Linked DNA regions of Macaca mulatta. The protein of the gene in region 1 purifies or fractionates together with the protein of each later gene. This does not show direct contact. Links are inferred from orthologs where the notes say so. Each region holds a gene or a part of one and is shown on either strand. Other genes may lie near its edges.

What was found. Proteins that work in one complex are often made in the same cells at the same time.
Region 2: the proteins of PPP2R5D (region 1) and PPP2CB purify together in Homo sapiens (affinity purification with mass spectrometry; 8 studies listed by BioGRID and IntAct, counting the BioPlex papers as one, with this or other methods). This does not show direct contact. The link is inferred for Macaca mulatta from reciprocal best matches to the Homo sapiens genes PPP2R5D and PPP2CB.

The regions. Positions count from the first base shown.
Region 1 is NC_133409.1:139,114,940-139,118,603, forward strand, and holds the end of PPP2R5D (serine/threonine-protein phosphatase 2A 56 kDa regulatory subunit delta isoform), read right to left. Parts: intron 3,209-3,664; coding exon 3,107-3,208; intron 3,017-3,106; coding exon 2,944-3,016; intron 2,799-2,943; coding exon 2,682-2,798; intron 2,531-2,681; coding exon 2,393-2,530; 3' UTR 1,339-2,392; downstream 1-1,338. Other genes in the region: MEA1 (male-enhanced antigen 1), read left to right, coding at 292-569, 656-755, 1,060-1,211. UniProt on the Homo sapiens protein: The B regulatory subunit might modulate substrate selectivity and catalytic activity, and might also direct the localization of the catalytic enzyme to a particular subcellular compartment.
Region 2 is NC_133413.1:32,576,470-32,581,376, reverse strand, and holds part of PPP2CB (serine/threonine-protein phosphatase 2A catalytic subunit beta isoform), read left to right. Parts: intron 1-1,351; coding exon 1,352-1,470; intron 1,471-4,907.

The DNA.
Region 1 (3,664 bases):
CGGGGGAGCCGGGATTTTGGAAGGGGTGTCTTTTAGGAGGTGGCAGGGCCTCCAGTTGGGCGTTTAATTAGGAAGTGGCGGAGCAAGGCGGATGGGGCCTGGTTCAAGATAAGAGCCCCGACTAAGGGGGAGGAACGAGAGGCTGGAAGCGGGGCGGAGGGGTGGAGGATGCAGGAGCCTCGGGGAGGAGCTGGTTATTTTGCACACAGGAGACCACAAAGAGATGATGAGAGGATGAACATGGGCCTGGTTTCATCCAATCCTTGTCCTATCGCCTCCCTGTTCTTGCAGCCCCTGCCCGGATGGCAACAGTAGTTCTAGGGGGAGACACCATGGGCCCTGAGCGTATCTTCCCCAATCAGACTGAGGAACTGGGACCACATCAGGGCCCTTCAGAAGGCACTGGGGATTGGAGCAGTGAGGAGCCTGAGGAAGAGCAGGAAGAAACGGGGTCGGGCCCAGCTGGCTACTCCTACCAGCCCCTGAACCAAGATCCTGAACAAGAGGAGGTGGAACTGGCACCAGTGGGGGATGGAGATGTAGTTGCTGACATCCAGGATCGAATCCAGGTAGGGTGGAGGAGGGATGGTTCCTCAACAGGTGAAGCTGGGCTCCCTGAAAGCCTGGACCCAAACAGTCTTCTCTGGCTCTGCAGGCCCTGGGGCTTCATTTGCCAGACCCCCCATTAGAGAGTGAAGATGAAGATGAGGGAGCTACAGCGTTGAACAACCACAGCTCTATTCCCATGGACCCAGGTAAAAGATCATTCTTTCATTCTGGAATAATTACTAAGGAAATGAACTGGCATGAGTCAGTAGAAGGAAGTTTAAGAGGAAGACCCTATCCTAAAAAGATAGTTTGTAAACTAAGATTTTGTAGACTTCAGAGTCCAAGTGAAATGCTCTTCTGCTATCTTTGGGGATGGGCAGGCTTGCCTTGAAGTAACAAGATGGATTTGGTGACCCTACCAGCCCAAGGGCTCTGGGTTGATTCAGGGATTGGGGAGGGGAGCTGGTCCCATTATTTCTATACCTGAGTGGCCTCTGGCTCTGATTTCAGAACATGTAGAGCTGGTGAAAAGGACGATGGCTGGAGTAAGCCTGCCTGCGCCAGGGGTTCCTGCCTGGGCTCGGGAGATATCGGATGCCCAGTGGGAAGATGTGGTACAGAAAGCCCTCCAAGCCCGGCAGGCATCCCCTGCTTGGAAGTGACCACAGTGAGAGCTGCCTTATCTTCCTACATTCCAGGCCAGAACCAGCACAGGACTGAACACATCCCTGGTTGTAACGTCCATTTCCATCTTCCCCATCTCCCTTTCCACATCAAGGCACATCAGACTTCTCAGAGACCCACTTTATTCAGTTCTGTACATATGGGGACATCGGCCCAAGCCCAACCCACCTTAGCATGTATCACTCTGTGGAGAATAAAGCACCCTATGTACACAGCCAAAAGCCGCACTGCCTGCGCCCCTGGAACCTGGGTCCAGCCCTCCTCAGCCCCTGGCCCCTCCAAGGTACCTACAAGGGACAAGAGAAGGCCTGCCCAGCATAGCACAAACAAGGAAATAAATAGGTGTTGGCAGGAGCCATGCTTGGGGCACCGCTCCCTGCTTCCTTCTTTATAGTTTTGGGAACCAACAGCACAGAAAAGCAGTCAGCCCCAGGTGGTCCCTTCCATGTCTGTGACCCCAGGGCTGCTGCTCACCAAAGACAGGGCATGGGATAGGGTGTTTGTTCATCCCTCCCCGGCCACACTTGGTCCATCTGGGCCCTATATTCATCAGTTATTGTCCACAGCCTATGCTTTTCTCCTTTTGACCTCCCTTGGTCAGGCATGGGGTAAGAAAAAATAGTACAACCCTATCTGCCAGCACATGGCTGCGGCTGGGGGGCCTGTTTGTGCTGCAGGGGGTTGGCTTCCCTCCAGCTACTCCAGGGGCCAATGGGGCTTGACATAACTTTGGTGAGAATAATCTCTGCTGTTCCCTACATGCCTCTGCAGGGGAGAGAGAGGAGGGAAGACACCTGGCGTTCAAATGAGGATGAAGGGAAGAATAGAGGAGCATATGTATTCCTGTGTGTACTTCTCAGAGCAGCCTCAGGTAGCTGTGGGTGAGGATCAGGTAGGGGACAGGCATCCCCAGGTTGTCTGAGCCCTAAGCATCTTAGTGCTCAGCCTGTACTAGCCACAGGGAGGCATGAACACCTTTTGGGGAGAAGAGGGACCACTCTGTGGGTGTCCCTGCTTCAAGTGCCCGCATCCCCCTCCCTGGAGTAGCTAGAGAGGCGCTGCCTTCCCCCAAGTCAGCCAGTAGGGAGCAGAGTGTGGAGGGCCGGGGCAGTGTCCCAGGGCTGAGTGGGCTGTGGCCCTGTGGTAGGAATGTGAGGGGTCAGAGAGCCTCCTGGCTGGCAGTTAGAAACTCTTCCGCCCGCTTGTGCGCTTCCAGTGCCTTGATGGTGTACACGTCCTGGGGCAGCTCCGACTTCCTCCGCAGTAGCACTTTCTCCTTCTTGATGTCTTTTAGCATCTGTGTGTGAATAGGGACAAGGAGAGGAACGGTGACCAATTCCCAGTGAATTCTATTGTTTCCTCCCCTTATTCTTTGGCTGTGCTGTTTCTGTCTCCTCTCCCTTCCAGAACTATTATTTCTGCTCCACCCCGCTACATTGCCCTCCCACCTGCACAGCCTCAGTCTCCACAGTCCTCTTCAGAAGCTGGATGTCCTCAGCTGTGGGGGTCTCTGTCTCCATCGAATACACAGGGGGCAGTGGTGGAGGAGCTCGGAACATGGGATACTGAGTGAGAGGAGACATGGACAAGTGGTGAGAGCCACTTCAGAGGCTTGGAGGCCTGTGTGCCCCATATTCCTCCCCTAACAAACTCTCCCCAGCTCAAGATGGGCTGGCCCCTCGGTTCACAGCAGTGGCAGGAAAACTTCACCTGGGGATTAAGCCGGGCCAGCTCCTCAATTTTTTGCCACATCTCTTCCCTTTCCTTCATTCGGAACCGGCCCCTGAGGAGCAAAAGTAGGATTGGGTTTGGGCTTGAAACACAGTGAGCTGGTGGTAGAAGATGAAAGTCTCCCGGGGAGAGAGATACTCACTTCTGCTTCTCTGCCTTGTATTGTTGTGTGCAGTCATCAAACAGCTTCTGATTCATTTCCATAAACAGCTTCAGGGCATTGTAGATCAGTCCATGGATTGTCCTACCACCAGGAAGAAAGATGAGTAGGAGGCCAGAGCCTGCCCTTAGTGCGAGGAACTCAATTTGTTCTCTCACAGGGGTATCTCTGCTAAGAGCTTTGTCATTTACTATGTCCAGTTCACAAACCTCTATGCAGTATCAGAAGAGAACTCTGGCCAAATCACCTGGTTTGAGACTGGCATTTCATGGTCTTCACAAATATTGGTCCACGTGTCCATCCTTCCCTCACCCCATGCTCTTCACCCCATCCTTCCCTCACCCCTGCCTACCTCCCATCCTTTCCCACTCTCTAACCCATACTAATGGCCTCCCAGCAGCATGATGGGCATGTAGATGCAGCATGACGGACTGCATCTGCACCACAGTGTGCTTGCTTTTAGCAGAAAAGTCTTTTCAAAACCCTGAGAGAGAGTTTCTTTTTTTTTTTTTTTTTTTTTTTTAAGACGGAGTCTCACTC
Region 2 (4,907 bases), on another chromosome or scaffold:
TATCAGTGATTATAAGAAACAGACTAAAATTTTAGCCTGAGACTCTTAGATTGGATAAATAGTCAAAATGTAGCTGTTATTTGGGATGTACCTAAAACATAAATGACTGGCTGGACAAAGTGGCTCATGCCTGTAATCCCAGCACTTTGGGAGGCTGAGGTGGGAGGATCTCTTGAGTCCTGGAGTTTCAGACCACCTTGGGCAACATAGTGAGACCTCATCTCTATAAAAAAAAAAAAAAGTCAAAAAATTAGCTGGGCATGGTGGCATATGTCTATTGTCCCAGCTACTCGGGAGGCTGAGGTGAGAGGATAACTTGAAGCCAGGAGGTTGAGGCTGCAGTGAGCTGTGATCATACCACTGCACTCCAGCCTGGGCAAAAGAGTGAGACCTTCTCTCAAAAAAAAGAGGGGGGAAAAAAAAAAAAAAGACACTACAAACTAGAGGTAAGAGTTGGGAAATGGTATATTGGTATATCAAGTAATAAAAATATCAAAAATATAGCTAATAGGCTGGCGCGGTGGCTCGTGCCTGTATTCCCAGCACTTTGGGAGGCTGAGGCAGGCGGATTGCTGGAGCTCAGGAGTTCAAGACCAGCCTGGGCAACATAGTGAGATCCCGTCTCTACTAAAATACAAAAAAATAGACTGGTGTGGTGGCGTGCACCTGTTGTCCCAGCTACTCAGGGGGCTGAGGCAGGAGAATTGCTTGAACCCAGGAGGCGGAGGTTGCAGTGAGCCTAGATCATGTTACTGCACTCCAGCCTGAGCAACACGTGTGTGTGTGTGTATGTGTATACATATACACATACATGTATATGTATACACACACGTAACACTAATTAGCATGTATATATATACACACTATATCTAATACTAATTATAGCCAATAATATGAATGAGATAGGCTCAAATAAAAGGTGTTGTTAGAAATAAAGAGGTTATTGATGAAATCTGTCCCAGTTCTCTAGGAAGAAAGTATTCTAAATTTGTATTTACGTAGTAATAGCTTCAAAATATATAAAGAATAATTGGCATAATTCATGAGGGAAAATTGAGAGATTTATTAGGATTGTGGGAGAAATTCAGTACACATCCTTGCCAAGATTTCAAGCATAGTTAAGGCAAAACAACAATTAGCGAGCTGCATTTAACAGAATCCTAGGCCCACGAATTGCACAGGGTTCTGTACAGGTACACAAACTATCAAAGATGGCAACCTTATAAAGTAATATAGACGACTACATTTCCACAGAGAGTGCCTGTAGTTTTTGAGTTTAGTTTTTTTTTAATGTATCTGTGTCAAAATCATATTATTATAATGAAATATTGAATTTGTTTTTATCCTGCAGGGATACAATTGGTGTCATGATCGGAATGTGGTTACTATTTTCAGTGCACCCAATTACTGTTACCGTTGTGGGAACCAGGCTGCTATCATGGAATTAGATGACACTTTAAAATATTCCTTGTGAGTAACTGTAAATTTTAATTGTATATACTTACTTTCAGAAGGAAAATTTTAAATGTTAAAAATAGAAGATTTGTGTTTCTGAAATAGTGGGATGAGGAGTATAGCAAAGCCCCCAACCAGCAAAAACCACCATTAGCTGGAGAACATTACTTTTAAAAAATAATTTTTCAAAGCTTTTGGAAATTCTCCTAAGGGCATACAGCAGATGGATAAACAGTTAATTCAAGAAAACCTACTAAATCTCAATAATAGCCGTTGTCTGTGGCATTTGAGCTATGACTTGCTCCCTCCAACTCCTTCCAGATCCCTCTCACAGAAACGACTACAGGCGCTGTAGTCTGGGTTGGTACAGTCAGGAGGCCAAGGGATTCCCCCTTTTTACCAGCTCCCAGGGTTGGGACTGTGGTTTCACTCGCAGAGGTCAGATGCCAGCATATCTCACCTCTCCTAGTCTGGAGTTACAGAAGCTCTACTCTTGGTGGACGCAGTCAAGCAGGCTGAGGCCCCCTTCCCTGTCCCAGCTCCTGGGGCAGAAGCTCTGCTCCAAGCATGCATAGCAGATGAGAATGCTGGGTTTCCCAATGCTCTTACCCCAGCACCTGCTTGTAAACCAGGTGGTATCACTGAGCCCGCACTGGCACAGAAGTTCTGCAGGAGGAAAGGCAGGTCACAGAAATTCCTCAGTTCTTCCTCAGTGGACTTACCTTACTTAGGTGATGGAGATTTCCAAATCTGAGTGCTTTGTGGAAAACAGTGGATGTCATGATGGAGACCAATTAAGAGGGCTGTAATAGCTCCCATGATACTAGGAGCAACATACAAAAGAGCAGAGCAATAGGTTGTTCAACAAATAGCACCAGGGAAAAAGCCAAGAAGAGCCCTTCTGGGATCACAGTCAGCCCTGGGGGACAAGGCTGTGCACATGCACCAGCCATACCCACTCAGGAGCAGTCAGAGTAGGATGTGGGGTATTCAGATAATATTTTCAGGCCACACATAGATTGTACTGAGTTGAATAGTGTCCCCCCCGCCCCCGCAAATAATGCATGTCCACCCAGAACCTCAAAATGTGATGTTATTTGGAAATAGGATCTTTGCAGATATAATTATTACAGATGAAATTGTATTGGATTAGGGTGGGCCTAAATCCAATTCAAACGGGATTTTAGTAAGAGGAAAAGAAACACACACACGGGAGAATGCTGTGTGAAGCCAGAGATTTGAGTGATTCATCTACCAGCCAAGGATTGCCAGAGCCATCAGAAGCTAGGGAGAGGCTAGGAAGGATTTTTTCTAGAGTCTTCAGAGAGAGTGTGGTCCTGCCAGCACCTTGGTTTCAGACGTGTAGCCTCCAGAACCTCCAGAACTCTGAGAGGATAAATCCCTGTTGTATAAGCTGTACAGTTTGGTAATTTGTTACGGCAGCCCCAGGAAACGGATAAGTGGATTGATCAACAAATGGTGTAACCGTCACTGGTATATGAGGCTTAAACACAACCTCTAATCATTGACTGAACATTCAGTTACTCTGACCCAGGAGCACCTCCTAGGAAGTCAGGCTTTAAAATAAAATCACACTCATCCCTGACAGTCTGGCAGAATATGTGCATGCCCTCTCTGGACTAAGTGGAGAATGAAGATCCAACTATTAGTCCCTGACTGAATGGGAAGCTAAAATGTAAACTCCTTCAGCTTTGATAGCAATCTGCAAGTCACATAACATTTCCGGTGGTCATTAGGGTGGGCTTTAAGATCTTAACTGGCCAAGGGGGCTTAAGTCCAATCTTTGATCAGTAAGTGGCTTATGCCTACCCAGAGACAGCCTCTCAGTAGCCAGGCTGTGAAAGATTAAAAGAAGTAAAAACAGCCAGGCATGGTGACTCATGCCTGTATCCAGCACTTTGGGAGGCCGAGGTGGGCAGATCACCTGAGGTTGGGAGTTTGAGACCAGCCTGACCAACATGGAGAAACCCAGTCTCTACTAAAAATTAGCTGGGCATGGGGGCGCATGCCTGTAATCCCAGCTACTTGGGAGGCTGAGGTAGGAGAATCGCCTGAACCTGGGAGGTGGTGGTTGGAGGTTGTGGTGAGCTGAGATCACGCCACTGCACTCCAGCCTGGGCAACAAGAGCAAAACTCCGTCTCAAAAAAAAAAAAAGTAAAAACATCTGAGCAGAGCCACAGGGGCTGCACACTATGGGGGAAGTAGACTTTACAGTTAGTTCAGCTAAGTCACTAAAGAAAAATAATAAACCACCAAAAACACAAGATCAGTCCCCAGGGACATGAATTCCAGAGTTACTGCAATATATTATCTATAATGTCCAATTTTTCAACCACAGATTATAAGACATGGAAAGAACAAGAGAGTGTGACCTCTACACAAGAAAAAGCTAAGCAACAGAAACTGTTTCTCTTGGATAGAACAAGTAGGCAGGAGATGAAGGCAGTAGAAGACTTGAGCAACACTGTAAACTGACTGTATACCTCATGTCTATAAAACAACACCCAACAACAGCAGAATACATTCTTCTCAAGTAAACATGAAACATAGTCATATGCTAGACTATAAAACATGCCTCAGGCAATTTAAGAAGATTGGATTCTTACAAAGTATATTCTCTAAACACAAGGAAATGAAATTAGACATCATTAACATGGCTCGATGTTGTGGCTCACGCCAGTAATCCCAACACTTTGGGAGGCCAAAGTAGGAGAATCACTTGAGGCCAGCCTGGGCAACATAGGGAGACCCCGTCTCTACAAAAAAATTTAAAAATTAGCCAGGTATGGTGCCAAGCACCTGTAGTCTCAGCTGTGTGGGAGGCTGAGGTGGAGGATCACTTGAGCCCAGTTGATCAAGGCTGCAGTGAGCTGTGATCACGGCACTGCACTACAGCCTGGGCAACAGAGCAAGACCCCTGTCTCAGAAAGAGAAAAAGGTGGTTTAAAATCAGTAACCTGTGTTTATACTTGAGGACCTAGAAAAAGCAAAGTAAACTAAACCTGATCTAAACTTATGAAACGAGGTTTAGAGTGGAAATAAACAGTAGAAAATCATTAGAGAAAAAATCAACAAAACCCAAAGTTGATTCTTTGAAAGGCCTTAACTAGACTGGCAAGAAAAAAAGGAGTAAAGACTCAATTACCAAATCACTAGAGACCTTACTTAAATAAAAAGGATTATAAAGGAATATAATAAATAACTATATGCCAGCAAATTCAGTTACTTCGATAAAATGGACAGATTCCTAGAAAGAAACTACTGAAACTGACTCAAAGAATATGAAATCTGAATGACCTTTCAAATGTGAAAATATTGAGCCAGCATGGTGACTCACACCTGTAAATCTCAGCTGTGGGAGGCCAAGCTGAGAGGATTGCTTGAAACAAGGAGTTTGAGAACAGCCTGGACAACATAGCAGGACCTTGTC